6 linked regions of the Ovis aries genome follow. The main gene of each other region encodes a partner of the protein of the gene in region 4 in a complex. Links are inferred from orthologs where the notes say so. Each region holds a gene or a part of one and is shown on either strand. Other genes may lie near its edges.

Region 1 (5,416 bases), on a different chromosome or scaffold from region 4:
CCCCACGGGGGTGAGGCTGTCCTTTTTCAGAATGTCATCTGCCTGAGGAGGCTGGGCCAGGACCCCAGCAGCAGGACTCTGGGTAAACCCCGAGGGAAGAGAGAAAACAAGGGCAGGCAAAAGGCCCTACAGGGTTGCTCCTCCCACAAAGAGGGCCTCTGCCTGGTGGCTTCTGACACTTGTGTGTGGCCGCATTTACTCTGCACCAGAGTAATGTGTACTTCAACATCGACAGTCCCTGGAGGAGTGAGACCCCCTTCTCTCCTGAACCTGGGGGCTCCGTCGTGCAGCACTCAGGCTGAGCTGGTGGGTCTGGGGACTTGTGGAGACGGGGACAGGAAAGGAAGGGGAGGGGACCCTTTGTCAGCAGCAGGGAGTAGACAGATAGAGACAGCAGGAGAGAGGGGGCAGGATGAGGCCCCTGGAAGCCAGCTTTATTGTGGCAGGTGCAGCACCTTTCTAGCCCCACCAGGCAGACTTCAACTCCAGCAAGTGCTGAGGGTCGGTGACGAGTGAATCCGGAGAACACTCTACCCTTGAAGTCCTGAGGTGACAGTGTACTGAGCCCCACCAGGACAGTGGCAAAGCAAACACACTTGTCAGCAGTCTGACCCACTAGGCGCCACATTCACGGTGGCTCAGCATATGGGCGGCGGCCTAGGAACAGTAAAGAAGGCCTTACTGCTCGGAAGGATGCTTCCGAGCCCTGCAGCTGCACTCACCTCGCATGTACTCGATGGTGCCGTCCAGCACGAGGTTGAGCAGCGGGTCGAACCCTTTCAGGATTCCACTGGCTTATCGGAATCACCAAGCAGAGAAGAGAGATGGACAAGCATAAGATCAATGGTCATTCTGGGTAAAGTGCGAGCTGCACGAGGGTGTCAGCACATGAAATTGGGGTGCCCTCACTGGTGAGGGACCACCCCCCAGCCAGACGCAGGCGTGGCAGCAGCCTCTTCAGGGACAGGACAGATGCAGGACCAAAGGGGGAGCAAGGGAAGGGCTCCCAGGAGACGAGCAGTGACAGCTGACCCCACACCATTGCCACTGCAACAGTCGGCAAATCCGCCTGCGCCTGTTTTGTAAACAGTTTAACTAGAGCCCGGCCCCGCTCATTTGGTAAATGTCGCTGTGGCAGCTCAGCTGCTGAATGGTGGAGTTGAGGAGCTGCGACAGAGACCGTCTGGCCAGCACAGCTGAAAATGTTCCCTGTCTGGTCTTCTGCAGAACAAGTCTGCCAGGCCTGCCTGAGTGCGAGGCCCTGGCTCTGCTTCCTCTGCTGTTGACAGCCCTCCTCAACCCTGTGACGGTGCTCACCAAGTGGGGTGATGGAGAGTGACAAATCCCAGAATCCATCTGGGCACTTGGCCCCGGGTTGGGTAGTGAGCCCACACCTGTGGATCCTCCCTTCTTACTGGGGGAGGTGCCGCAGCAGGTGGGTGGGATTTTCAGATGAATCCAGCATTCCCCCACCCCTCCCTCTGATGTGAGATGGGACCCTCGATCAGACGTCAGTCTGTGGTCAGGCTGTAACAGAGGGCTTCGTGGATGTGATCAAGGTCCATGAATCAGTCCACTCTTAGTGGATCTAAAGGGAGGCTATGCTGGGTGGGCCTGACCTACAGGTGAGCCATTAAAAGGATGGGCCCTTTCTGAAAAGAGAAGTTGAAAAAATTAGATTTTTCTGCTAGCCTTGAAGGAGTCAACTGCCATGCTGTGGACAGTGTCTGTGGCAGAGGCAGTGGGCAGCCTCTAGGAGCCCAGAGGGTCCCTGGCCAACACTTGCCAGAAAACGAGGACCCCGGGCCTGAGATACAGGCTCCCAGAGATGCTCCCTTACTGCAACCTCGTCAGAGACCTGAGCCTGAGGCACCTGGAGTCTGGAACCACAGGTGCTGTGAGATAAAAATGGGTTGTTGAAGCACAGAAAATGAACAGAAGGGACTTCCCTGGTGGTCCAAGTGGTTAAGAATTCATTCTGCAGTACAGCAAATGTGGGTTCCATCCTTGGTCTTACATTCCATGGAGCAACTAAGCCCATATGGCATAATTAGAGAGACCTGGCCTGACATCTGAGACCTTATGCAGCTAAATTAATTAAAAAAAGACAAACACAAGCGCCTTGAGAAGCAGGAGCCCCATCTCCTTGTACATCCCAGAACCGGCATGGTGCCAGTGTTTGTTCAGATTCAGAGCCTCACTGGGCTGGGTACCTAGACGGGCAGGCACTGTGTTTTTAGCCACTCTGATGCTACCCAGGCGTCCACATCTCAGAGGAGGAGTCGTCTGAATCACCATCTTACCAACAAAGAAACTGAAGATCAGAGATAGCTGAATAAGTGAAGCACTGGGTGCTGACTAAGTGTCAGGAACTTGGCTAATGACATTACCCTTTAATTTCACCACCACTGCTGAGGTAAGTGGAGTTAACAGCCTCTGACAGATGAGACAGACTCAGAGATTATAGCGACTTGCCCAAAGTCCCACAGCCAGTGAGCTGGGGCTCTGCCCTGGACGGCACTCTCCACGTAACCTTGCATCATCTTTCCTGCCAGTCTCCTCACGAGATCGCAGAGGGAGATGCAGTTAAAGCCTCACAGTAACTGAAAAAAACCTGCCAAGCCCTGACAGCTGTTACCAGGAGCTTATACCAAAGGACCCTGACTTGGGATGCAGAGTCAAGCAGAGCTTCCCAAAGCAGCTGAGAGCTGCCTGCCTCACTCAAAAGCAAAAGGCTCATTCTTTACCCTGGAACAGTGGTGAACAAGGAGATGAGGTTTGCTTTCAAAAGGTGCCTCAGGTGGCTTCGTGTAAATTGAGTATAGGGCCTGGGTTCTCAACTGGGGCAATTCTGCCCCTGCCAGGGAACACCAGGCCAGGTCTGGGATGCCTGTGGTCATCAGAACTAGAAGGCTCCTGGAATCGAGTGGATGGGACCAGAGATGCTGCTCCACACCCTACAGCGCCCAGGACGGCCCCCTACAGAGAACAATACGGTCTTAATGTCAGCAGTGCTGAAACTGAGAAACCCTGGTGCTGAGGGGGCCCATGGGGGGCTGGGGCAGCCGCCAGGGTGAGACAAGACCCAAAGGAAGCAGAGACCTGAATCCTAGCCCCTGTGGCTGCGGGCGAGGTTTGGGCCCCTTTGCGTGCCTCAGTTTTCCCACCTGCAAAAGGGGTGTAACCGTTCCTATACGCCGGCGCCGGCAGCAGGCCGGACGAGTTGTCCGAGCCAAGCGCCTAAAGCGCGGCCCAGGCATCCGTTACCGGTACCGCCTCCCGTTACTCCTCGTGGACTGTGGAGGGGGAGGGCAGCGGGGCCTCACCTTCTCTGCCTCCCTGGAACTTCACTCGGATGGTCTTGTCGATGTACTTGGATAGATCCAAGATGCTCTCTTTCTTTTTCTTCTCTTTGTCCTGCAGGGGATGCAGAACGCTGTGAAGCGGGGAGCACGGCTGGACTCTCCCCAGTCAACCCCACCAGCCCCGCGAACCCCGCCAGCCCGGCGAACCCCGCCAGCCCGGCGAAACCCGCCAACCCCACCAGCAGCGCCGCACGCTCACCGCCATCTTGTCGCGCCGCGTCGCTATGCGCAGGCGCCGCCACTGCGCCCTTTGTACCTACCCCTGCGCGCATGCGCGAAAGACGCAGGGCGCCTGCGCGGCGCTCTGCGCCGGGGCGTTGCTGGGAAACATCTGCCGACGCCTGTGGCGGGGACCGGGCGACATGGCGGCGGCGGCAGCGGCGGCGGCGCTGGCGCGGCTCGCAGCGGCCTTCCTTCTCCTCGCGGCCCAGGTGAGGGCGGCGCCGACCCCGTTGGCCTCGCCGGCCACGGTGCCCCGGCTTCTCACCCCTCCCTGGCCCCGCGCAGAACCCCGCCCTGACCGGCCTGGGGCCAGCTTAGGGGATCCGCGCCCCCGGTGCCGGCAACCCGTGGGCCTGGGGCCCGACCGTGACCTTGCGGGTCTGTCCCCCGGCCGGTCTCCCTTCTCTGTCTGGACGCCGTTCCCAGCCGTGGTGTCACTGGGTTCCGCCCGGACCTAAAGTTTTAGGTCCCACTACCCCGCTTCCGCCCCGGCCCCTGCTGGTCTGTCTCGGGGTCTCCAACCGCCTCTGGGACTCCCCTCTCTGACTCCGTGGCCTTAGTCGGGGGCTACCCCTCTCTGACCCTGGCATCCCCTTGAAAGCGATACTACCCCCATTCCCCGTGGTTGTAGTCAACTGCCCAGCGTGGCACCCAGTGACTGGCGGCGTCGAGAAGCGTCCAGGAGCCCAGCCCTGGAATGGGGTCGAATCGCCGCCCCATCTTTTTCTGCCGTGACCTTGGCAGGGGAGTTCCCGCTTTGAGTTGGTCGTCTGCAAAAGGAGGATAAGTGTACAGTGCGCAGTCAGCGAGATGATGTAGGGGATCCCGGACGTGGGGCATGCTACTTGTTTGTCACTTAACCTCAAGGGTCGCCACTGGGGGACAGACCTGGAGATGGCTGATGTACGTTACCTTGAGTGCATTTTTTATTTTCCAAACCCTCCCTCTCTCCCAAATTCCATAACTCCGGAAATGGTGCCCCCCCCACCAACAGCCCTACAAACTGGGCCATTAACGTTGCCCTTTCTGTGCCAGCCCCCCAACCTCTGCTTCAGGCTGCTGGCTTCTCTCCAAGGCCGCTTTTGTCCCCCAAACTCCCAGTTCATTTTCAGCCCTGCAGGAGGGATCTCTTTCAAAGTGTGTCAGATCTTGTGTCCAAATGAGAGCTTTCTGGTGCCACTGACACATTCAGGAGGACTCTGTGATCCGGCTGACAGGAAACCATCCTTTGTTTCCAACTCTAGCATATTAAAGGCACTTTGCTCACTGGGCTCTGTTTCCCTGAAACCTAACTCCCTCCAACGTTGTGTTTCTGGTCTCAGCTTAGGGGTGCCACATTCCAGCAGCTTTCTGACCCACCTCCTCCCCAGGTGCTTTGCCAGCTCCCTGTATTTCCCCCAGCCCTATTTGCTCGTCTCCCTCAGCAGTCTGACCCATTGGAAGCAGGGATTTTGAGCTCTCTAAATATTTAGAAAAAGGAAAAAAAATGGCAAAGCGATAGGTGGGCGAAGGGTCACAAGAACACCACAGAAGGAACGGCGTGGTTCGCCTGGGAATGATTTTCAGAAGCAAGAAGCAAGGGTACCAGAGGGGCGTTCTGAAGGATGAGTAGGAGTTTGCTGGGTCAAGAAGGTGTTCCAGGGAGAAAGTTGCAGGTGACGAGGGCAGGGCTGGAGGTGTGAAATCTGGTGATTTTTATTTTTTTAATAGCAGATATTTATTTAATTTTTATTGGAGTGTGGTTGATTTGCCATATTGTGTCAGTTTCAGGTGTACAGCACAGTGACTCGGTTATATATATATACACACACCCCTTTTTAGATTATTTC
Region 2 (5,453 bases), on a different chromosome or scaffold from region 4:
GGGCAGCCCAGGTGAGAGAGGGGGTCCCTCTGCTTTCTCCTCAGGCCAACGCCCGGCTCAACGTGACCCGGCGCTTCTCCCAGGTGCTGTCGGCGCTGGGACTGGATGAGGAGCAGCTGCTGGCCGAGGCGGGCAAAGGGGACACGGAGGGCGCCCCCAGGAAGCACAGGTGAGGCCCAGCTGTGGGGAGATAGGGCACGGCCACCAGTACCCTGCCCCGCGGGGTCTCAGCTGCCGCCTGCCCCGGGGAAAGGCTAAGGGGCCTCCCCCGCAGCCACATGGGTCCACCCTGAATTTAGACTTCCATCCTGCCCTGTCCACTCCCTGGCCGGGAGGACTCAGTCTAGCTTTCGCAGTCAGCAGGGCCGTCCCCGGGCCCTGTCCTCCATGTCACCTGAGGAAGGCAGGGCCAAGGTTATTTCCCCACAGAACGCTTACACTTCAGAACAACCTGGTGCAGAGCAGAGGTTATCAGGCTTCGGGGGCGGGGGTAGTCTCCCACTCAGGGTCTCAGAGTGTAAGAGCCACATTTGAAACCACTGACATTGGTGATGAAGGCCTTGCCCCTCCTACAGCCCAGGTCTCCTTGGTTATGGGGGTGGGGAGTTGCAGAGCCCAGTGGTCTCTACTTGTGTCTTCATCTTTAAGGGGCCACAGGTCAGTGGGGGCGAGAATGGAGCCCTCTTCTCAGAGCCCCCCAAAGATGGAACACACTGGCAGCCAGGCTGACCAGCACTTCGCCCCAAATCCAGACCAAGAGTTGAGTCCCTGAGATAAAAATTAAATGCTTTGTGGAAAACACGGTGTGGGATTTCTGGCGGTGGTGGGAAGTGGCTGTGGGTTGGGAGCAGGCCGTGGCAGGTGGGTATGCAGCACGCTTGGCTTGTGCTCACATCCCCCAGGAACCCTGGCTGTTGCGACGGCCCCCGCCCAGCACACACGGCTGTGTCTCTGCCCAGAGGAGCGAGTGGGGCATCTCCCAAGAGCAACAGCTGCAACTCCTACCAATGCTGGGTCCTGGAAATTCAAGAGTGAACAGGACAGAATGCCTTCCGCCTTTGGGAACGCCCAGTCCTGTGGGGGAGGGGGCGGGCCTTTAAAAGGGCGCATAATCACACCCTAACAGATGGGCTGGCAGATCGAGCAACTGGCAAGTGGGGGTGTCAGGAGGAATTGTGTGAACTGAGCTTTTAACTACAAGTTAACAGTCTCCTCAAAGGAAAAGAAAAAGAAAAGCTCACACACACACGGATGTGCCAAATTTTGCATTCGATTTCAGGGGGTTTACAGATACACAGAAGCTCAACTCGACCTCCGGGGCAGTCGCAGAGCTCAGGTTAAAAACCCAATCCAAGGAGCGTGGCAAGGCAGCGTTGGCAGACAATACTAGATGTAGGGGTTGGAAGGAAGCTGGACTGTGGAGCTGGGGGCCTCGGGAGAACATGCTACGTCGTTTAACACCCGATGGAGCCACGACCCCAGGCAGTACACTAGGAGGACGCCACTGGAGAGGTGGACCCTGCCCAGAGACAGTCCGTGAGCCAGTGAACATCCGTAATTGAGGGTGTGAAAGCGGAGGGAAGCCGGGAAGGGGCTTCCAGCTCTGGCGATCCTGGCTTGGATGGTCCCTAGGTCCCATTCTGGGATACTGTCTTCCCCAGACCCAGTGGCGAACCTTGAGGCGCGCATGCGCAGTCGGCCCCCCGGCTCAAAGACCGCTACCCCGGCTAGGCTGGCTGCGACTGCGCAGTCGGGTTCAGATCCCGGCCTTCCCATGAGCCTTTGGGGCAGGCTCCGAGGCAAACGACGGAAGCAGCCGCTCTTGGTTTCCGGCAACAGGACACCGGCTGTCGGGCGACCCGGAAGTGTTCCCATTTTGCGTCGTCGGGGCTCGGCGGCGGCCGGGCTCGGGGTTAGACAGACCACCATGGGGTCGTCAAAGAAGCACCGCGGGGAAAAGGAGGCGGCAGGAACTACAGCAGCGGCCAGCACCGGGGGCGCTACCGAACAGCCGCCTAGGCACCGGGAGCACAAAAAACACAAGCATCGGAGCAGCGGCGGCGGCAGTAGCGGCGGCGAACGACGGAAGCGAAGCCGAGAGCGTGGGAGCGAGCGCGGGAGCGGGCGGCGCGGGGCCGAAAATGAGGCTCGCAGCAGCACGCACGGGCGGGAGCGCAGCCAGACAGAGCCCTCCGAGCGGCGCGTGAAACGGGAGAAGCGGGATGATGGCTACGAGGCCGGTGAGGGGCCTGTGCAGGGGGCGGGGCGACCGGAGGTGCCTCGGGTATGTGGGCTCTGGGTATGGAGGCCGAGCGCACCAGGCCGAGGCATCCTCTGGCTTTTTCGTCAGCACTTTCTAAAGGGTCTTCCTATGGCTATTTGGGACTGAAGGTTGTCTTTCTTTGTTAAACTCTCTGAGGGTAGAGATTTTCTTTGTTTTCCTCACGACCCCTCCCTGAATGTGTTGAATGAATGAAGCGATGGTAGCATGTGCAGAGGCAAGAACAAACATGTTGTCAAAGTTGTGTAGAGTTCATAGGAGAGACAGCAGTCTGTAAGAGAGACACGGATCTGAACACTAAGGGCCATATAGGCCCTGTTAAGAAAGTGAAACTTGTTTTGAGAGGAAGCCATGAATTTGAACTGACGAGTGAGTTGATCACATTCATATTTTGCAAAGATCTGGGAGAAGGGCAGTAGAGACTGGAGGTGAGATGAAGGCTGATGGTGGCCTGCACCGAGGCATTAGCCATGGGATGGAGAGACGTGGACAGATTGGAGAGGTGTTTTGGAGGAGGAGGTGATGGAGCTTAGCATTTGGATGAGGGCTGGAAAGAGAAGAAGGAATTGAGGGTGTGCCTTGAATTTTGACTTGAGCAACTAGTTGAGTGGTAGTGATCTCTGCTGATGTTATCCTGGTGGTTCAGTGGTAAAGAATCTGCCTGCAGTGCAGAAGACAAAAGAGACAAGGGTTCTATCCCTGGGTTGAGACGATCCCCTGGAGGAGGGCATGGCATCCCACTCCAGTATTCTTGCCTGGAGAATCCCATAGACAGAGGAGCCTGGAGAGCTATAGTCCACAGGGTGGCAAAGATTTGGACACAACTGAAGTGACCGAAGCACACATGCACAGTGCTGTCGACTAATTTCAGGAGTTTGGAAGAGAAACAGATTTTTGGAGGGAGACAACCGAATTCCGTTTTGGAGAGTGTTGAATTTTATGTGCATGGAGAAACTCAGGGCTTGGGCTGGATAGAGCAGTTTGGGAATCATGAGTGTTTAGGTGGCATATGAAGTCCACTGAGAGACTAGGAGTAGGAAGCCTACTGGTAGGAGAACCTGATAAATGCTAGTGTCTTAGTATTACGCTGAGCAGGAGGCTACGAAAAAAGGAGGTAGGCTGTCCCCCAAAGCAGGAAAACCATAGAATCTCGTGTCAGGGGATCTGTGGGAGTGATCATCTGTGTCACACACTGCTGGAGACCAGATGAAAACCAGAGCTGAAAAGAATCCTTGGGGTTTTGAAATAAGGAGGCTGGTGATCTTGGAGAGAGCCTGGAGTGGTTGGGATTCAGAGTTCAAGTGGGATAAGGTACAGAGGTAGGTTGTGAGGCGAACATGCTGGAACGATGAGCTGTGGTGGCGCCTGGTAGGGGCAGCTCCGTCTGAGTCCGAATCTGACTTCTGCATGTGGTGTTCAGTGAAGTCACTTGCTGTTTGTGAGGTGAGTAGAGGATGTCCTAAATGCTCCTGTATCTCAGTGATCTCAGCAACATTACAGAAGAGGCTCCAATAAGTATATTTCTTCACTGCATGAATTACACAGAGGGCATAGTTATGCTGCCAAGATGGTCCCTACCCTGTGAGGAGAAGCAGGTCCAGAAATGACTGTGGCAGTGTTGTGCAGAGGAGAGCAGGTCATGCTGATCAGTAATGGAGCAGGACTCCAGGGAGGAAGTGGGGTCTGATAGGATTTTGTTAACAGCCTGAGGCCAGAGAAGGCAGTGTAGGTTGAAAGCACAGGATACGCAAAAGTGGAGAGGTGGCGAAGTGAAGGATGTAGAAAGCTGGACCCTTTGGATCAGGAAAGGAAGGTGTGGGGAGAAGCAGCGTTCTCAGAGCCTGGGACTCGGATGGAAGGAGCTCCTGGTTGGGGGGAAGCAGGCCGAGGTGCTGACCTCGTCTTCGGCCCTGCACCTGGAGCCAGGGCTGCGGCTCCTGGGCCCAGTGCTCTGCCCCTGAGCCTTGCTGCTTCTTGTTCCAGCTGCCAGCTCCAAAACTAGCTCAGGCGATGCCTCGTCACTCAGCATTGAGGAGACCAAGTAAGTCCTGTCTCCTTTTCATTTCTGTGTTTTCTTGTGGGACAAGCAGCTTCTGGGGTAGCTGTCTGGGGAGGCTTTCGCGTAGTACATGTTCTGATTGAAGTTGGAAGTGTCATGTAAATCATCCTAGCCAACCAGCTGAGTTCCCGAAGTGGACTCTGAGGCCCAGGAGAGCATGGCCTTGCCCTGGCTAGGGGGCAGGCCAGGCCTTCCGGCTGATTGGGAGGCCGGTGCTCTTCCCACTGCTGGGTCAGGCCCTAGGTTTGAGACCCTTCGGACCACTCAGTCCCTTCCTGTTTTCTCCCCCTCTTTGTCCAGAAATGCATTTGGTGCCCCCATTTCTTGGACAGCTCATAACACTTGTATCTCTTGTCCTCAGTAAACTCCGGGCAAAGTTGGGGCTGAAACCCTTGGAGGTCAATGCCGTCAAGAAAGGTGAGTGTGGGGCCGAGGGTGATGGGAGAGAGCGCATTTGGGATCAAGAAGTGAGGCTGTCTGGAGGGATTTTTGAAGAAAGTGGGGTTGGAGTGCAGGTCAGCACCCCTCAGTGGTCCTGTGTGGGTGCTGGCTGTGGCCTTGGGGTTTCCTTGCTGCTGTGATGGGGTTTGGGATTCGGCTGCTTGTTTAAGCTTGAGCAATTGACGTGGCAGCCTCAGTATGGCTGCGAGGTAGCGTTAAAGGGACCAAGAGATGTGCACAGTGCTGCACACTCATCTGCGCTGTGCACGTGTTGGGTTTTTTTTGTTTCAGTTTGGTTTTTTAAAGTATGACCAGAGGGGCTTTGGAAGGCATGGAGGGTCCCCTCTTCTTGGGGGGGATGTGGGAATGTGGGGTTGCCGGGGATCAGGAGGCAGAGGATTCTTCCCTTGCTTCTGGCTTCTCTGGCCCCCTGAGTGGGACGGGGCAGCGTGAGTGGCTCCCTCCTTTCCCCACCAGCCTTGGGCAGGCATAGCCTCACGCCTGGGCCTCCCTTCCAGAGGCGGGCACCAAGGAGGAGCCCGTGACAGCCGATGTCATCAACCCCATGGCCTTGCGACAGCGAGAGGAGCTGCGAGAGAAACTGGCAGCTGCCAAAGAAAAGCGCATCCTGAACCAAAAACTGGGGTGAGGGTCCCCGCCAGGTGGGCTCAG
Region 3 (5,226 bases), on a different chromosome or scaffold from region 4:
TATCAAGTTTCAGTGGACAGAGGAGTGAGGTAGACTACAATCCATGGGGTTGCAAAGAATTGGACACAACTGAGTAGACACACACATTCTATCAAGTGGGCTCTCCTGGTGGCTCAGCATCGAAGAATCTGCCTGCCAATGCAGTATGCTGCTGCTGCTGCTGCTGCTGCTGCTTAGTCGCTTCAGTCGTGTCCGACTCTGTGCAACCCCAGAGATGGCGCCCACCAGGCTCCCCCGTCCCTGGGATTCTCCAGGCAAGAACACTGGAGTGGGTTGCCATTTCCTTCTCTAATGCATGAAAGTGAAAAGTGAAAGTGAAGTCGCTCAGTCGTGTACGACTCTTCGAAACCCCATGGACTACAGCCTACCAGGCTCCTCCGCCCATGGGATTTTCCAGGCAAGAGGACTGGAGTGGGGTGCCATTGCCTTCTCCCTCCAATGCAGTATATGTGGGTTCAATTCCTGGGTTGGGAAAATCCCCTGGAGAAGGAAATGGCAACCCACTCCAGTATTCTTGCCTGGGAAATCCCATGGACAGAGGAGCCTGGTGGGCTACCGTCCATGGGGTCATAAAGAGTAGGACATAACTTAGCGACTCAACAAATTCTATCAAGTGAAATATGTGTCAAAGGAATACAGAACTGCTGAACTTTAGTTCTCGAAATGTTCTTTTTAAATGGCTTTCCTTCTATAAAGTTAAAACAAATTTCCAATTTATCATCTATACCATTAAAAAAAAATTTTAAACCCAAGGTTTCCACAAACTAAAAAACTATTTGCAAATATTTCTTAATAGCTATAACTTCTCAAAGTTAAGATGAGATTAAAATATTTCAAACTCTCTTAATTTGACAAAATACAATGTGAAGTACCTTAAAAAAATAAACAAAACCATGACTGCTCTCTTGATTAAAAAGGAAGCAAGGCGACTGGCCTTAGGCTTTGGAGTCAAATTTAGTTTAAATCCCAGTTTGGCTCTGCCACATACATTCATATGACTCTGGGAAAGTGACTCTTTTTCTGATCCAGGTTCTTAGCTTAGAATGCAGGGCTAGTTCTTCCTCACAGAGTTGTACTAGGATTAAGTGATGTAACACACGGGACATGCCTGGTACATGACACATGTTTAATAAATGGCAAAGTCTGACACTTGGTAATTGCCACTTAAGGACCCACTGAGAAAAACCCCAAGGATTAAAAAGAAAAAAACATCAGTTGCAGAGTAGGAAGATAGAAGAACAAATTCTATGAATTATAGAAGACAATAAAGTTTAGCAGCCTTAAAACTTTTTTGAAAGTTAACAATCATGAATTATAAATGAAATTAAGCCACCAAAAATCATGGAATAAATTCCTCAGATCAAGGAGAGAATCCAAGACTTTTCTGGAATTAAAATGGGATACAGCGATAAAAGGAAAAATGAGATGAAATACACTTCAATATTCATCATAATTTATTCTACAGAAGCACGAGATTCTACAACCTAAGAATATCTGAAGATTAACAATGTACATGTCTTAAATGTTCATTATATAGAGGTAGTATCTAAATCTTTTTTAAAAGTTTCCAAAAAGCACACACACACATTTAAAAAAAAAAAAAAAAAAACAACCTGTATGATTCATGTAGTAGATGTCAGAGCACTAAATGAGGAAGGAAATAAAAGATGAAGCAAGATAAATACAAAATATAGACAAATATCTGCAGACTAGACCAGAAGTTCTCTAAGGGCAGATTCTGTTATTCATCCAAGCTTCTAGAAGAAGCCTTGTATGTAACTTACAGCCAATGTTTATTAATGAAAAAAACAAAAAAAAAAACGGATTGGCAGCTATTTATCAAAGAGATAAAGAGTTGAATCATAAGAAAACTGCAATGCAGGTGTACTCTGGTGCCTAGGCACTGGAGATCAGAGGTTGTACATAAAAATTTACAACCAGTAAGCCTTCAAGAGTGGGCTTCCCAAGTAGCACTGCAGCAAAGAATCCACCTGCCAATGCAAGAGACGCAGGAGATCCGGGTTTGATCTCTGAGTTGGGACAATCCTCTGCAGCAGGAAATGGCAACCCACTCCAGTATTCTTGCCTGGAAAAGTTCATGGACAGAGGAGCCTGGCAGGCTACACTTCAGGAGGTCACAAAGAGTCTGGGACAACTGAGCATCACAGGCAGAAAAGCCTAAAAGAAAGCAGAGAATGAATACACCAAATACTTACCACAATCATTCTCCCATCAGAAGTAATGACAGCAACAGTTCCTGATAACTGAATCAAGGAAAGCATTTCTAAGGGAATGCAAACTGAAAACTTAAAATCTGGTAAGTAAATGGCTTAAATTACTAGGAAAAAAGGTGACAGAATTAAGATACAACTATTTAACACAGCCACATTTACAACATAAAATTGTATGTTCTTAATTCTCTGTGACAACTACACAATCTAAAAAAGGAAAAATAGAAAACATCCTTTTTATGAGATCAGTGTATTCTATCTTAAAACAAGCTGGGATGTTTGGTACTCATTTTTAATGAGGGAATATTGCAAATATGAAAATTGAGCAAGATATTTTTCCTTTTTTTAAACCTGTTTCATCATCTCTGAAACGAAAATTGGATGAGTGCTATTCAATGTCAAATGATTTAATACGTTAAGACACTGTCTTCTAGGACCTGCCTTCTGGAATTCAAAAGAAACTATAATCAATATCACAAGTATCAATATGCTTGCATCATTTAAAAAGAAAAACCTTTAGCATTCCACTTTTGTCCCAAATTTGTACATGAGAGCACAACGTAATGTTTCTGTCCCGAGACTTTAAAATGGTGCATAGAGTACTATTACAGGAGCTTTTTAAAGCTATTTGCCCCACAAGCCGATCTATTACAACAGCAAGCATTATTTTAATTCCATCAACAATAAAGTTGAGATTTCAGCTGGTAAAGGGGCAGACATTCGATTTTTGCATCATCTGTAAAGTTTCTGCTATCCTTGAAGACTGAGCAAAGCCTATGAATAAAACAAACACATAGATTTGTGAGTCCACCGTCGCAGCTGGTAAAACTATCTTATTCCCAAACGTGAACGTATAGGCCCGAGGGAAATGGAAAGGGTGAATCAATAACTGATTTCTATAGAGACACGGAAAAGTTCAGAATAATCTTGTCGGTTTTGCTCGGCTTTTCCATCAAGTTAAGACGCCTTGGACCAGCAGGAGCTGCGGGCTCCAGTCCCAGGGGTGAGCCTCCTTAACCTCTGTATCCCCACCCCGAGACCCAAGCCCGTCAGTGGCTCGGTGCCCCAACCGCCCGCCGATCCCGACCCCTGGCCTTTCCAGCACTGGTCCACTCCGGGGCCAGACGTGGGCCTCACCAAGGCCTTAGCTAATGCCCGCGATAGCCGACTGAAGGGTACGGTTGATGTAGTTCTCCAAGGCGGACGTCATGATACGCGACCTGGCAACTGGAAACACAAGAGCCCCGGCGTCCAGATGAGCTAGAAAGGACCGCCAGGGAACAGCAGCCTCTCTCGCCGACTGGCGGCAGCAAATACCGCGAGAACTACCGCAGGGCGGCCTCCGCGAATCAGAGACTGAAAGAAACCGGCCAAGCATTCCCGAGATGCAAAGCGACGACGGCCTTAATGCGCGTGTGCAGTATGTTTCTGCTCTTGCGGGTGATATTGGAAGCCGGAAAGAACCAAAGAGAACGGGCGGTGGGAGAAAGAAAGAAAGAAGCTCCCTGAAGATGGGGAGAAGGTGGGCGAGCGCGCTTCATAGCGGAATGGAAGGCTTTAGTGGCAGAAGTTACTAAGGGGAAATGTTGAGAGAAGATGGGGAAGGCAGGAGAAAACCGAATAAGGTTTTTGTTGTGTGTGTTTTTTTCCCCACAAGTGAAGTAGAGACTAGTGCTGTTCTGGTATGAAGTGTAGACGCCCGGATGTGGAATCCCTAATTTTGTACTGCAGAGGCCGAAAATTAACGTTTTAGAAGCTAAACGACCCCGGACAAAGTTCCACAGTTGTACCGTATGGTATACATATCTGGAGAAGTCAGTAGTTAAAAGCATGTTCGCAGTTTGCATTTGCTTCTAAAAGTGCTGCATCGTGTTCACCCGCAACTATCAACCATTGTTATTGTGAATGGGCTATACCCCAATACAAATGTTTTTGTTGTTAAAAAAAATTTTTAAATGGTGCATCGCGGCGGCGTTGTCACTCATTCATTTTGTCACTCTGCCGTGTCAGAGTCTTTGCGACCCCGTGGACTGTAGCCTACCACGCTTCTCCGTCCATGGGATTTTCCAGGCAAGAGTTCTGAAATGGGTTGCCGTTTCCTTCTCCAAAGGGTCTTCCGGACCCAGGGATCAAAACCGGGTTTCCCACATTGTAGGCAGACGCTCTGGAGAAGGCAATGGCAACCCACTCCAGTACTCTTGCTGGAAACTCCCACGGACGGAGGAGCCTGGTGGGCTGCAGTCCATGGGGTCGCTAAGAGTCGGACACGACTGAGCGACTTCACTTTCACTTTTTACTTTCATGCATTGGAGAAGGAAATGGCAACCCACTCCAGTGTTCTTGCCTGGAGAACCCCGGCCTGGTGGGCTGCTGTTTATGGGGTCGCACAGAGTTGGACACGACTGAAGCGACTTAGCAGCAGCAGCAGCAGCAGCAGGCAGACGCTCATTGGAAAAGACTGATGCTGGGAGGGATTGGGGGCAGGAGGAAAAGGGGACGACAGAGGATGAGATGGCTGGATGGCATCACCGACTCGATGGACGTGAGTTTGAGTGAACTCCGGAAGATGGTGATGGACAGGGAGGCCTGGCGTGCTGCGATTCATGGGGTCACAAAGAGTCGGACACGACTGACCGACTGAACTGAGTCAGATGCTTGACAGTCTGAGCTAATAGGGACTGAATCCAAATGGTAGAGTGTGAGTCTTCCTTAGGAAACAGTCTTTCACCACACCCCAAAGTTTCCCTCTCCTCAGGTTATAAAATCAGTTACTTTTAAAAGGCTGGCAGGTCCGCTGCTTATTCCTGGAAAGGACTGATTATGGAAGAGCTTGCTAAATAAGCAGCAGACTGGGTTCTAGTCCTGCTGTGCTAATGAAATGGTGTATCCTTGCACAAGTGACATCAGCTCATCTGGGCCTCAGTTCCTTAAATTCTACCCCATTTATCATTTTGGATATTTAATGTGTGTTACTACAAAACATTTATTTTACTGT
Region 4 (4,784 bases):
GAGTCCCAGGCCTTCCCTCAGAGAGCATGTCTGGCCAACCCCATAACAAACAACAGAGAGAAACTGTAGGATACTCAAGTCTGCAAGTGGTGGGAGTCTGAGTCCCAGGTAGGAGCTTATGCAGGGTCAGCATGTAGGCTGCTGCATAAGCAAGAATGTCGTTCCCCCTCTCTGTGGAGGTCTGCTGTGATTCCCTGTGACTAAAGGGGCGGATCAGACCCTTCCCAGTCCCAGAGCTATGAGGGTCATTAGGTCACAGGCTGGTCAGAGGGCACCACTGACCCACTTTGTTTCTGTTTTATGTTTTGCTGTTTTGGCTACAAGGCATGTGGGATCCCAGCTCCCAGACCAGGGATCGAACTGCACCCTCCTCATCGGAAGGCATAGTCTTAACCACTGGACCACCAGGGAAGTCACCACTGACTCACTTTGAAAGCTTGAATTTTATAAAAAAGGCTTGAATTCCTTTCAGTTTCTCCCTCTGTGCATAACCACTTAAAACTTCAATTTTAACAAGACTATGAAACTTATGGAAGTGGGGTTAGTGTTTCAAACACTCTGAACACCAAGCTTTCCTTAAATAGAACATTCCACTCTACTGAACATGCAGCCCCTTGCTGAAAAGGAAAACAATAATCAACAGTTCCAATAGTAATCAAAGCCCAAGAGGACTTTCCAGGCTCCCCACTTAAGTACAGGGACTCCTGGCATAAGGCACAAATCAGAGCCTGCAGGTGGAACACGCTGGCCATTTTGGCCACATCATGTCAAAAGGAGCCATGCGTGCGTGCCAAGTCACTTCAGTTGTGTCCAACTTTTTATGACTCTATGGAGTATACAGTCGCAAAACTGTAGCCCACCAGGCTCCTCTGTCCATGGGGACTCTCCAGGCAAGAATACTGGAATGGGTTGCTATGCATGGAATAACAACCCCACCCAGGGATCTTCCCCACCCAGGGAAGATTCAAACCCGTGTCTCTTAGTCTTCTGCATAGGCAGGCAGGTTCTTTACCACTAGGGCCACCTGGGAAGTCCAAAAAGGAGCTGTGAGCTGGTATAAATCTCTGTCCTATACCTGGCTACACCAGGCTCAATTCACATCACTACACCAAAGTGTGGAAAGGTAATTTATTTCATAAAAATGCTTTCACCCCAATTACAAAGGTGCCCTATTTCTTCAGTCCTAACTAAAAATAGAAACAATAGCTAAGCTGCAGACCATGGGCCATGACTACAAATTGTGGGGCTTCCCAGGCGGCTCAGTAGTCAAGAATCTGCCTACTAATGCAGAAGAAGTAGGATTGAGCCCTGGGTCAGGAAGATCCCCTGGAGGAGGAAATGGCAACCCACTCCAGTATTCCTGCCTGGATAACCCCATGGACAGAGGAGCCTGGTGGGCTACAGTCCATGGGGTCCCAGAGAGTCGGATACGACTAGGCGACTGAGCACACGTGACCTCTTTCTTCAGTTTCCCTGGTTCCTCCCAAAGAGAAAGGAGATTCTCTAAGTCCAAAGGCCTGAGACTCTCTCCTGACCTTGAGTGGGGAAGATCCCCAGGAGCCCTGGGGTAGCTCCCAAGAGAACTAGTTCCAAACCAACCCTCCTGGACACGCACCGTGATATCCTCTAGGGAGGAATCGATGATCTCATAGTTGTCGGGGAGGCAGTAAAACTTGAGGGTGTGGAGGTTGAGGAAGACATGGTGACTAAACTGCACACTGTGAATGTAGGCGTGAGACTTCAACCCCCGGCCTGCAGGAAGGAGGAAAGGCTGTGAGCGAAGCACAGACTCCACAAGCGCACAGACCGTGTGTAATTTTCCCTTCTTCATTTCGTACCAGAACATGTTAATATCAGCAAAAACAAAGCACTACACCACTCCTGAAAATTCATCTCCGCATGAATTCCTCTCATCATACAAGTCAGCAAGAAAGAATAGCACTTTATTCTCTAGATAACATAAAACATAGGGGGACTAATTTCATATACACAAATATGGAAAATGTGTGGTTATCTGTGAGTATGTGCATATGTGTATGTATACATGTGTGAGTAAGTATATGTGTATGTATACAAGCTAGTTTCATGTGCTATCAGAAACTAGGGATATGCATGCATATATTATAAATAATACACGTACATACACATATGTACGTATCTCCATCATTACTTAGTCTTAATTTTCCAGCTGCCCACATTCAGGACAATCTCATATCTACGTAACTTTTGTTCATGTTACCACTCCTTTCTAGAATATTTCACCCTTCACCCATTCAAACTGTATATACTGCATACAGAGAACAAGTTCCTCCTTCACCTCCTTCATGAACTTGACATAAACATTCCAGCTAACAGTGACCTTTGCATATTTCAACTCCTATTGTCCTTATTTATTTACACTCGGTACCACATGGGCCAGTAGTAATCTTTATGGTCTTAAGAGAGTTTGCTGATTGTTTTGTGTGTTACCCTTGACTATTTATCAGATCCTTATAAGAGCAAGGAATGTACTTTACATTTCTTCTAAATCCTCCACTATACTGCACAAATTGCACTAGCTTGGTCTGAATAAACTGATACAGTTAATTTTCAGAAAAGGACAGAATGAAAAAAACTCCTTACAGTAAAAGGATTCTCAGAAAAAGACATTGAGTACAGAAAAATATCAGAGATTCAAAAACCCAGTGCCAGTCAGCACCAGGGGCCAGCCAATCCCAGAGCTCTCCCCCGTGGTTGGTTCACAGGCCAAACAATCAAACAGAAAAGTTAAATAAATAGCAGCAGGGCCAGAGGCAGTGGAACTGGAGACAGCAGGGCTTCAGTGGCCTTGCCTGTCCTCCTTCACCGGTGACGACCAGCATTAGGCAGAGAAAGCCACCACCTTAAAAAAATAATAATAAAACTAGAACTTCTGAGATTTCCCAAACAGTCTCACATGTGGCAAGTTCTTTCTCCCTTTCACATGTATTCAGATTCTTACAAATAGAGAACCTCCTATGGATTTTCTAAGAGTATTCCAATTTCCTGGGAACAAAGATAAAAGTTTATTAGACATGACTCTTAACAGCAACTTACTCTCTTAAAAAAAAACACAACAACAAAAACCTACGGCTAGCCAGCACACAGCACACAGTCAGCACACAGACCTGTGGCTAGTGCTGAAAACACAATGCAAAATATTTATTTACCTTGAAAGTACTTGCCACACACCAGACAAGCATATGCATTGATGTGCGAGAGGGAGATGGAACACAATTTCTCAAAGTCAAAGTCCAGCACACTCCTAAGAAGATTAAAACAAAACAGAAACAGTTAATGGTGATGGTGGCCCAGGCGAGCACCTGAGTAAAGCAACGCCGTTGGCTCCATGCTCCCCAGCGTCATGCAGCATCCTTCCAAGAACAGGTCAACAATCACATGTAAATTATGGGGAACGTTAACTCTTCCTTACTTAGACATTCGGGCTTTCCTGGTGGCTCAGATGGTAAAGCATCTGCCTGCAGTGCAAGAGACCCGGGTTCAATCCCTGGGTTGGGAAGATTCCCTGGAGAAGGGAATGGCTACCCACTCCAGTATTCTTGCCTGGAGAATTCCATGGACAGAGAAGCTAGTGGGCTACAGTCCGTGGGGTCGCAAAGAGTCAGACACAACTGAGCAACTAACACTTTCACCTAGATACTTAATATAGCGCCCCAACCCACCAACCCCCAAAGTAGTGCAAAGGTATCTCTACCAATGACCCTCTTTGAGTATCCACAACCAGTTGAGAATCTCCCATTACTTTCTCTGGAGGAAAAGCCACAAGTAGGACCAAAGTAACAGGGTGCTAACAACATTCCAAAATAAAAGACATAAAATGAAGGACATAAAAAGAGTAAATAACCCCTTTCGTAAAAGAAAATTTTATTTCTGTCCATTAAAAAAAGTCAGAAGCCTGAAGAATTGTAGGGGAATACCTACAAAAAGATCTATCTGTTCAACTGCAAAGTCACGGTGAGTACCAGGCAAGTTAAGTAATTTAAAAAAAGTTACCTCTACTAAATCCACAGGTGCCAAGGGTTTTCCTTCTCAAGCATTAACTCTATAATTAATCGTTAATGGTCCCTGGAAAGCTGCACTGTCCACTAAAGGGGCCACTAGCCACACACAACTATTGATGTAAAATAATTAAAACAAACTTTAAAATTCAGTTCCTCAAGCCACATTTCAAGTGCTCAACAGCCACAAGTGGTCTGTGCCTACCACATGGACAATTCCACTGTTACGAAGAGCAATTCCAATGTTGCAAAAGCAGTCCAGTAGTCAAGGCTACACTAGAGCATAAGTGAAAAACCATCCTGTAACGCATCTGGGGGACCAAAGAATGCACTGGGATGAGATGACCACCTCTGCTTTAGGACATGTCTTTGTCTGTTTTTCCTTTCCTGAATCCCAGGCACCAAGAGCAGTACCTAGCACATCATGTGTGTGCGTGCTCAGTGGTGTCTGACTGCGACTCCACAGACCATAGCCTACCAGGCTCCTCTGTCGGTGGGATTTGCCAGGCAAGAATATTGGACTGGGTTGCCATTTCCTCCACCAGGAGATCTTCCCAATCCAGAGACTGAACCCAAGTCTCCTGCATCTCCTGCACTGGCAGGTAGATTCTTTACCCACTGAGCCACCTGGGAAGCCCAGGCACATACTGTTCAGTTCAGTTGCTCAGTCGTGTCCAACTCTTTGCGACCCCATGAGTCACGGCACGCCAGGCCTCCCTGTCCATCACCAACTCCCAGAGTCCACTC
Region 5 (5,389 bases), on a different chromosome or scaffold from region 4:
CCCTGATGCTAGAAAAGACTGAGGGCAGGAGGAGAAGAGGACGACAGGATGAGACAGTTGGATGGCGTCACTGACTCAATGGACATGAGCCTGAGCAAGCTCCGGGAGACAGTGAAGGACAGGGAAGTTCATGGGGTCACAAAGAGTCGGACATGACTTAGTGACTGAACAACAACAACTAAAATCTGGAACTATAATCCTGTGATTAAAAAAGAGTAAGTACTTAGAAAGGGTACCTTTCTCTTCTTTCAGCAGGACCTTCTCCAAAAAGTGTGATGGGTTCCCCCAAAGCTCTAAGGCAAGCTTTGACCTCTGAGTCATCTGTGGAAACGTTGATTTGCCGGGCTCGCTTCCTTCTCTCAAACTCTGCTAACACTTCAGCCTGTCTCTCACTGATGTGCTCTTCAATTTCAAACACTTCTCCTATAAACAGAACAGGCAATATCAGCATAATCACCAATCTTCTTTAATTAAGGAGAGAGAAATAAGTTCTTACAACTGGAGTTTGCACGCCTCTGCTGCTGCTGCTAAGTTGCTTCAGTCGTGTCCAACTCTGTGCAACCCCATAGACGGCAGCCCGCCAGGCTACCCCATCCCTGGGATTCTCCAGGCAAGAACACTGGAGTGGATTGCCATTTCCTTCTCCAATGCATGACAGTGAAAAGTGAAAGTGAAGTCGCTCAGTTGTGTCCGACTCTTAGTGACCCCATGGACTGCAGCCTACCACGCTCCTCCGTCCGTGGGATTTTCCAGGCAAGAGTACTGGAGAGGGGTGCCATTGCCTTCTCCGCTGCATGCCTCTAGGGACAGTTAACTAATCTGTTAGAAACTTTAGTTTCTCAGTTTATTAAAGTATGCCAAACACAGAAAACTAAATGAGGTTTTAAAGGCCAGAAACTGGTTCAAGTCATCTTGTTTCATTTGGCAACTTACACTTACATAAACACACAGCCTTCATGAGACAATGAGAATATGGAGCACTTTTAACAAGTTATCTAGGCTTTCTATCCATGGCAAAATAGAAACATTATTTCAACAGTTGCCAAAGCTACTCTCTGAAATAGTCTCAGTATAGGAACACTAACAAATCTAACAGTGAACTGGAAATAATTACCATGAAAATGATAAAGCCTTAACTACAAGGCTTTTTGGATAATCTAGTAGCTAGTTTTAAAACTCACATAAAAAACAAGCATTTGGATGAGAAGTGAGAAGTACAAGGGTGATGCAGTCATGTTTAAAATAACATAAAAGGTTTAAAACTCATGAAAAGTGCACACGTATAGAAAAGAAAATGTGTGGGAGGGTCGATGAGAAACAACAGAAGTCCTATCTGCACAGAAGTCTTTTTATACCCTTCCATACTTTCTGAATTTCTTATGACAAACATGAATGATTTTATTTTTAAAATATAGTAGACTACTAGTTACTGGCATGAAAAAATACCCTCAACAGTGTGTGCATACTTACTGGCTTACTTGTTTCCAACTCTTTGAGAGCTGGTAGACTGTAGCCCACCAGACCCCTCTGTCCATGGGGTTTTCCATGCAAGAAATACTGCAGTAGGTTGCCATTTCCTCTTCCAGGGGATCTTCCCCACCCAGTGATCAAAGCCACCTTGTCTCCTGTGTCTTGCACTGCAGGTGAATTCTTTACCCACTGAGCCATCAGGAAAGCCCATTTAACAGTATCACAATGACAAACGCAGCTTACAAAACAATTGGTTTATCGTGATTTCATTTATGGGAAAAAAAAGTGTATTTTTATAGCTTTATTAAGTTCTTGAAATGACATAGCTCCAATTAATACAGATTACAGGTTTTTCTACTTCATATGTTTCTTTATTGTTTAATTGCTTTCAAAATAAAGATGGCTATCACTTTAAAATTTAGAAGAGATAATTTCATTTTGGGTGAAAAACAGTTGAAAAACTAAAAAGAGGAGAATATTAGGAAACACAGTAGCTCCAAGCTAACGCCAGAACTACACTAGATCTCCAGAAGACAAAGGAAATCACTCTGAATTCAAATACACACTGAATAAATAAATTCCTAGTAAAATTACTAACAGTTTACTGAAGGAAAACTGTATAAAAGGTTTTAAGAAAAAGGTTCTTTGGATGATAAGACCAAGTCAGGTAGGTGGAGAATATGGACTTTGATAGGTGCAAGCTTATTAGTTGTAGTTTCTTGACATAAACTAGTGATATTTAAGATGAAGAAGGTAATCATTACAGAAAATTTGAGCACCAAAGGTAAAGATGAACTCACAATTTGAATCTTACCAGAGGTTATGTTAATGTTTCCTGCTTCAATTCCTGCTTTGAGTCCTTCTTTTCCCAAAAGCCCAGATTCTCCTTTGGCCAGACGCTCCCTCTCCTTCTCTTCCAAACTTCCATAATAGATGTGTGGTTTCTTCACAACAGGAGCCACTAAGTCATCTGGTGCCTTAGTTTTGGTTGCCTGCTAAAACAAAGACCTAGGTTAACCTAAAGCTTAATCTTAGCAGCCTAATAGGTTTCGCAGCAGAATGAAGCTTATTTAGAGCTTCAAACCTATTTCTTCCCCACACAAAGGACAAACCAGACACCAGTTAAAATGTGTCTTCCTTAATCTGGGGGTGGAGGGAAAGAGTGGTTCCAGTCTCTTAATCACTTAAGTTTTGTAGATAGGAAGAGATGGATAAAACTAGTCAATTTCTCGTGCTGATTTTTCTGTCAAAGGTTTTCTCTTGAATATGTGTATTTCATACGGCTGCAGCAGGTGAAATCTCTTCTTGGCTTTTATGAAATTTCCACAATTACTGCTCATCACAGGGGTATCAAGGATAACTGAAATAACCAACGCGATGGTACGGGGGCCAAGTTAGAAAGCTACTGTTCATACATTTCAAACGTTTCGGATATGAAGCAGTAGATAAGTTAGGAGGCCTCGTTACAATTAAGAGTTCTGAAAGTGTCATAAATCTTGGCCAAGACTCTACTCCCTTTCAGAGCTCCGTTTCTGAACCAGACGGAAGAGATATTTACATTTCGGGGCTGGAGTGAGAGGTGAAAACGAGCTAAAACAGATGGAAGCACCCAAGAATTAGGAAAACACCGAAGCCTTCCTCCTCGGCCCTCCACCGCCGTAGCCCGTTCCCTAATGGCCCTGTTTCGCAGGGACCCCCCCACCCCCTCAGCGCTCCCTGCCAGAATGAGACCTGTACCGTGGAGGAGGGTCGTGAGGAAGCCATGCTGGGCTCCGGGGACGCGAAGCCTCAGCGAAAGCCGCGCTCTACGTTTCAGACCGTCCACCGCGCGCCCAGCAAAGCGGAACTACGTCACCAACCGGAAGTGGTCCTAGGTCCGACGCAGCATCCTGGGAGGCGTGGAGCATTATGGGAATCGTAGTAGGAGGGAGTCTGGGCGAGTTGAGAGATGTGATCTGTAGAGCCTCAGAGAGAAGCACGCGGAGGCCAAGGTTCTGCGAAGAGAGAAACTCAGAGGCAGTGTGGGAAGTGTAGTCCAGTTGGCTTAGCGGATGATTCGGGGTGGGCGCCGAGGTTCCGGAAAGGGACTGAACAGGCCTGAAAAGAGGTAGGTGCGGGGAATCGCGCGGCTGCGAACTGAACTCAGGGAGCGAATCGAGGGATTCCGGGGCCTACTATCGGCTCCCGGCCCGGCCAGGGGCTCTAAGTCCTCCTGGCGCCAAGGCCTATGTTGCCATGGAAACTCTCGCCCTGGACCCTTGAGTGCAGCCCAGGAGCTGCGGCGGGAGTGCTGTTCTCCTCCACTGTCAGGAAGTTCTCTTGGCAGTTTCTTCTGGGCTGGGTAGGTTTTCGGTGAATTTGGGCAGTGGTGAAACAATAAGTTCAAAGAGCCCTCTAGCGCCGAAGTGAAATAAAGACCAGGCGGAGGAGCCACGCCCCGCTTTTGCTGTCTTCAGCAGGTCTTTCTGTCTTATTCCGAGAGAGATGATGAATGTGAGGCGTCAGGTAAACTGCAAGCAAGCAACTTGCACGACTCTGCTGCCCTGGGTGCTGGGGCATCAGAGGCGGACAAGACAAGATTCTTGCCCCCTTGTAGGGCGTGAAAGTGAAAGTGAAGTCGCTCAGTCGTGTCCAACTCTTTGCAACCCCATGGGTTCTCCATCCATGGGATTTTCCAGGCAAGGGTACCGGAGTGGATTGCCATTTCCTTCTCCTTGTAGGGGGTGGAGATGCTCAAAATATTGATGTTTCCAGAGCTGGAAAGAGCCCCCTCCTCTCCCCTAGGCCTCTTTCCGATAATAATGCCTATTTACTGTGAAAAATTCTGAAAGAGATGGGAATACTAGACCACCTGACCTGCCTCCTGAGAAATCTGTATGCAAGTCAAGAAGCAATAGTTAGAACTGGACATGGAACAACAGACTGGTTCCAAATCAGGAAAGGCATAGTAAAGGCAATATATTGTCACTCTGCTTATTTAACTTATTAGATGCAGAGTACATCATGCAAAATGCCAGGCTGGATGAAGCACAAGTTGGAATCAAGATTGCCGGGAGAAATATCAATCACCTCAGATATGCAGATGACACCACCCTTATGGCAGAAAGTGAAGAAGACTTAAAGAGCCTCTTGATGAAAGTGAAAAAGGAGAGTGAAAAACTTGGCTTAAAACTCCACATTCAGAAAACTAAGATCATAGCATCTGGCCCCATCACTTCATGGCAAATAGATGGGGAAACAATGGAAACAGTAACAGACTTTATTTTGAGGGGCTCCGAAATCACTGCAGATGATGACTACAGCCATGAAATTAAAAGACGCTTGCTCCTTAGAAGAAAAGCAATGACAAACCTAGACAGCATATCAAAAAGCAGAGACATTACTTTGCCAACAAAGGTCCATCTAGTCAGAGCTTTGGTTTTTCCAGTAGTCATGTATGGATGTGAGAGTTGGACTATAAAGAAAGCTGAGCGCTGAAGAATTGATGCTTTTGAACTGCAGTGTTGGAGAAGACTCTTGAGAGTCCCTTGGACAGCAAGGAGATCCAGCCAGTCCATCCTAAAGGAAATCAGTCCTGAATATTCATTGAAGGACTGATGCCACAGCTGAAACTCCAATACTTTAGCCACCTGATGCAAAGAACTGACTCACTTGAAAAGACCTCGATGCAGGGAAAGATTGAAGGCAGGAGGAAAAGGGGACAACAGAGGATGAGATGGTTGGATGGCATCACTGACTCAATGGACATGAGTTTGAGTAAGCTCCAGGAGTTGGTGATGGACAGGGAAGCCTGGCATGTTGCAGTCCATGGGGTCACAAAGAGTCAGACACAACTGAGCAACTGAACTGAACTGACTGAGTGTTTGCTAAACGCCAGGTTTCATTACAGGAATTTACGCTGCAATGTGACATTCAATCC
Region 6 (3,559 bases), on a different chromosome or scaffold from region 4:
CACTTCCCTGTCTCTTTTCTGTGTCTGCTACAGCCCTGATTCCAAATTTCCTGCACCAGCCTGCTTTATTAAGGAATTTGGTTTACTAATCTGTCTCACCCCCCGATCAAAGCACATTTACCTTAATTTACCTGACTTAAGTCTCAATCACTTCCACCTAGCAGTCACCAGCCACAGCTGGTATTTGCTTTTGTCGGCCTAAGAATCTTCTGTTACCATCCTCACCTTGAATCTGCTGAATCTGCTTATTCACTCTCACCTCTTCAAGCTGTGTTCCCTTTATCCTAGTCCTGCTACTGCTGCTGCTGCTAAGTCACTTCAGTCGTGTCCGACTCTGTGCGACCCCATAGACAGCAGCCCACCAGGCTCCCCCGTCCCTGGGATTCTCCAGGCAAGAACACTGGAGTGGGTTGCCATTTCCTTCTCCAATTCACGAAAGTGAAAAGTGAAAGTGAAGCTGCTCAGTCGTGTCTGACTCTTAGCGACCCCATGGACTGCAGCTTACCAGGCTCCTCCATCCATAGGATTTTCCACGCAAGAGTACTGTAGTGGGTTGCCACTGCCTTCTCCTTATCCTAGACCTAGGCCTTATCTGATTTCCAGTAGATTTGGGATTATAATTGATTATATGACTCCTGTCTATTCTTTGACATTTATTCACTCACATCCAATGCACTCAAAATATATTCATTGAGTGTCTACTACTAGTCACTGTGATAGATACTAAGGATAAAGTGGTGAACAAGACAGACATGGTCTCTGCTTCTGTGGAGTTTAAAATTTAGCAAGAGAGATAGTCCTTAGTAATCACAGTAATGAATGTGCTCAGTAGCTCAGTCGTGTCCAACTCTTTGCAGCTGCATGTAGCCCGCCAGGCTCCTCTGTCTATGGGATTCTCCAGGCAAGAATACTGAAGTGGATAGCCATTCCTTTCTCCAGGGGATCTTCCCCACCCAGGGACTGAACCCGGGTTTCCTGCATTGGTGGGCAGGTTCTTTACCATCTGAGCCACCAGGGAAGCACCCATGACTTAGTACAGCAGGGATACTAAGGCAGACATGTGGACTCCTTTGTTGGACAACTTTGGCTCAAGGTCTTGCAGAAGTTTCCTTAGACTGCCTGGTAGTCTCAACTGCTTCCATACATCCTTTTCTCTTCTTTCCCTCCTTACCAGTCAGGCTTCACTCACAGCTCCTTCTCTATTTTCTTTTTTTTTAAATATAAATTTATTTATTTTAATTGGAGGTTAATTACTTTCATACAGTCATTTCTCCTAATAAAATCTTGCCGTGTTTAATCTTGTTTTGACAAGAGCTTCTTGGAGGTGTAGAATAACATAAGTAGAGTGGGTATTTGAGATTCAGGAAACAGTGTTTACTTCCTAGGCCTAGATCTGAGTCACATGACTTGGTAAGAAAACCCAAAGCTGTGAGACTTCAAGAAAACTTAATGTTTGGTAGCTGTATATGCATGACCAGGTTATCAGGAATAATAAAGTCAAAAGGGGTGAGGAGGAAGATGCTGGGGCACTGGCTGCAAGCCCTGTCGTTGCCTTCTGCCATCCAAAAGCTGGGGAAAGATCTCTGAGTGTCTTGGGGAAGCTAGTATTTTCATTCGGCACCATCTTACGTGGCTGGCTCTGGTTTGTCGGCCTGGCTCCAGATGTCATTCTTTTCCTCCATGATTACCAAGTGGTTGCTACATCATCACGTGAGAAAATACTGGGTAACGCAGTAGAGAATTTGGGATCCAGGCTTTACTTCTTTCCTAAAGATGATCTCATTTGGTCAAGGTCTGTCTTCCAACTTCCAAAAATCTCATTTTTCTTGGTTTCAGCTTTTCCACAAGTTCTTTGCTATGTCTTTTGTCTTTGTAAACATGAAATGTTTTATTTTCTTCACTCAATTAAAATGCGTTTTGTGGGGACTTCCCTGGTGGTCCAGTGGTTAAGAAAGACTTCACCTTCCATTGCAGGGAATATGGGTTAGATCCCTGGTCAGGGAGCTAAGATCCCACATGCCTTGTAGCCAAAAAAACATAAAACAGAAGCAATATTTTAACAAATAAAGACTTTAAAAACGGTCCACATTAAAAACAAAACTTAAGAGGGTTTGAAAGATGGCGGACGACGTGGACCAGCAACAAACCACCAACACTGTGGAAGAGCCCTTGGATCTCATCCGGCTCAGCCTGGACGAGCGCATCTACGTGAAGATGAGAAACGACAGAGAACTTCGAGGCCGGTTACACGCTTATGATCAACATTTAAATATGATATTGGGAGATGTGGAAGAAACTGTGACAACTATAGAAATTGATGAAGAAACATATGAAGAAATATATAAATCAACAAAACGGAATATTCCGATGCTCTTTGTGCGGGGAGACGGCGTTGTGCTGGTTGCCCCGCCATTGAGAGTTGGCTGAAACGAGAATCCGCCGCCTGTGGGAGACGGGCTGTGCTGTGCGGTGGCCTCTTTGAGTGTGGAAGATGTTCCAAAGAGAGACCGATGTGCATCTTGATGCTGAAAATAAGCAAGAATTCTTCCACTCCTGAAATAAGTTGATTTGTAGATAACTCACAAATACTTCAGCTAAACGGCATTTTTATTTTTCTCCAACCCTTCCAATAAATGTGATCGGCGCGATACAGAAAAAAAAAAATAAATAAAAAAATAAAAAATAAAAAAAATAAAAAAAAATAAAAAATAAAAACAAAACTTAAAAAAATATTCATATGTTTTCAGCTCTTCCTTTCTTTTGAATTCTTTTTTTTTTTTTTTTTGGTGGGGAGAAGTACAGTTGCTTTACAATGTTGTGTTAGTTTCTGCTGTACAACAAAGTGAATCAGCTATATAGCTCTCTTCTTTCCTTAATATTTATTTATTTGTTTGTTTGCCCTGGGTCTTAGCTATGGCACACAGGATCTTCAATTTTGTTGCGACATGTGGGTTCTTTTAGTTGTGACATGTAGGATCTAATTCCCTGAATGGGGATTGAACCCCAACCCCCTGCATTGGGAGCCATGTGTCTTAGCCACTGGACCACCCAAGAAGTCCCACAGCTCTCTTCTTGAAGAGGCAGGTGTGTGTTCTGAAAAGAATGGGAATGGAGATGGAATCTCGACTCTACCACTTCCTACATGTGAGACTTCGTGGAAGTTAATTTTATGAGCCTTGATTTTCTTGTTTATAAAATGTAGATAACACCACCTACCTCCCAGGATAGTTGTGAGGATTAAATGAGTTATGGTATATAAAAAAGACCTTGTACATAGTAGATATAGAAAATATTAGTTCCCTTTTAGCTCCCATACCAATGAAAGTCTTGGGAGAGCTATTTCCATTTTAGTTTTCCCACATTTCATTTATCTGAGGACAAATAAGTCCCTTTTCTTGTGCATTACCTTTTATTATTCAAATCTTCGGTGCATTCAAAACTCATATGGCAAGTAATTGACTCATCATAAAGACAAGGAGCTTACAGGGCTGCAGAATGAAAACCTGAAAACTACTAATTAGAATCCATTCATTCATTCACCTATTTATTCACCTAATAT

Evidence for each region.
Region 1: USP39 (region 4) and LSM7 share a complex: the UniProt entries of both Homo sapiens proteins name them as parts of the U4/U6-U5 tri-snRNP complex. The link is inferred for Ovis aries from reciprocal best matches to the Homo sapiens genes USP39 and LSM7.
Region 2: USP39 (region 4) and SART1 share a complex: the UniProt entries of both Homo sapiens proteins name them as parts of the U4/U6-U5 tri-snRNP complex. The link is inferred for Ovis aries from reciprocal best matches to the Homo sapiens genes USP39 and SART1.
Region 3: USP39 (region 4) and LSM8 share a complex: the UniProt entries of both Homo sapiens proteins name them as parts of the U4/U6-U5 tri-snRNP complex. The link is inferred for Ovis aries from reciprocal best matches to the Homo sapiens genes USP39 and LSM8.
Region 5: USP39 (region 4) and PRPF4 share a complex: the UniProt entries of both Homo sapiens proteins name them as parts of the U4/U6-U5 tri-snRNP complex. The link is inferred for Ovis aries from reciprocal best matches to the Homo sapiens genes USP39 and PRPF4.
Region 6: USP39 (region 4) and U6 snRNA-associated Sm-like protein LSm3 share a complex: the UniProt entries of both Homo sapiens proteins name them as parts of the U4/U6-U5 tri-snRNP complex. The link is inferred for Ovis aries from reciprocal best matches to the Homo sapiens genes USP39 and LSM3.

The regions. Positions count from the first base shown.
Region 1 is NC_056058.1:19,031,989-19,037,404, reverse strand, and holds the start of LSM7 (U6 snRNA-associated Sm-like protein LSm7), read right to left. Parts: upstream 3,590-5,416; 5' UTR 3,571-3,589; coding exon 3,565-3,570; intron 3,418-3,564; coding exon 3,327-3,417; intron 795-3,326; coding exon 723-794; intron 1-722. Other genes in the region: SPPL2B (signal peptide peptidase-like 2B), read left to right, coding at 3,590-3,796. UniProt on the Homo sapiens protein: Plays a role in pre-mRNA splicing as component of the U4/U6-U5 tri-snRNP complex that is involved in spliceosome assembly, and as component of the precatalytic spliceosome (spliceosome B complex).
Region 2 is NC_056074.1:40,494,933-40,500,385, forward strand, and holds the start of SART1 (U4/U6.U5 tri-snRNP-associated protein 1), read left to right. Parts: upstream 1-1,873; 5' UTR 1,874-1,927; coding exon 1,928-2,240; intron 2,241-4,264; coding exon 4,265-4,322; intron 4,323-4,701; coding exon 4,702-4,757; intron 4,758-5,258; exon of another isoform or gene 5,259-5,299; coding exon 5,300-5,426; intron 5,427-5,453. Other genes in the region: TSGA10IP (testis-specific protein 10-interacting protein), read left to right, coding at 45-169, 903-1,035. UniProt on the Homo sapiens protein: Plays a role in mRNA splicing as a component of the U4/U6-U5 tri-snRNP, one of the building blocks of the spliceosome. May also bind to DNA.
Region 3 is NC_056057.1:84,396,146-84,401,371, reverse strand, and holds the start of LSM8 (LSM8 homolog, U6 small nuclear RNA associated), read right to left. Parts: upstream 3,507-5,226; 5' UTR 3,442-3,506; coding exon 3,411-3,441; intron 2,258-3,410; coding exon 2,217-2,257; intron 1-2,216. UniProt on the Homo sapiens protein: Plays a role in pre-mRNA splicing as component of the U4/U6-U5 tri-snRNP complex that is involved in spliceosome assembly, and as component of the precatalytic spliceosome (spliceosome B complex).
Region 4 is NC_056056.1:57,465,088-57,469,871, reverse strand, and holds part of USP39 (ubiquitin carboxyl-terminal hydrolase 39), read right to left. Parts: intron 3,284-4,784; coding exon 3,189-3,283; intron 1,753-3,188; coding exon 1,616-1,752; intron 1-1,615.
Region 5 is NC_056055.1:10,446,617-10,452,005, forward strand, and holds the start of PRPF4 (U4/U6 small nuclear ribonucleoprotein Prp4), read right to left. Parts: upstream 3,319-5,389; 5' UTR 3,235-3,318; coding exon 3,202-3,234; intron 2,466-3,201; coding exon of another isoform or gene 2,463-2,465; coding exon 2,285-2,462; intron 424-2,284; coding exon 237-423; intron 1-236. UniProt on the Homo sapiens protein: Plays a role in pre-mRNA splicing as component of the U4/U6-U5 tri-snRNP complex that is involved in spliceosome assembly, and as component of the precatalytic spliceosome (spliceosome B complex).
Region 6 is NC_056080.1:116,709,852-116,713,410, forward strand, and holds U6 snRNA-associated Sm-like protein LSm3, read left to right. Parts: upstream 1-2,105; 5' UTR 2,106-2,118; coding exon 2,119-2,427; 3' UTR 2,428-2,730; downstream 2,731-3,559. UniProt on the Homo sapiens protein: Plays a role in pre-mRNA splicing as component of the U4/U6-U5 tri-snRNP complex that is involved in spliceosome assembly, and as component of the precatalytic spliceosome (spliceosome B complex).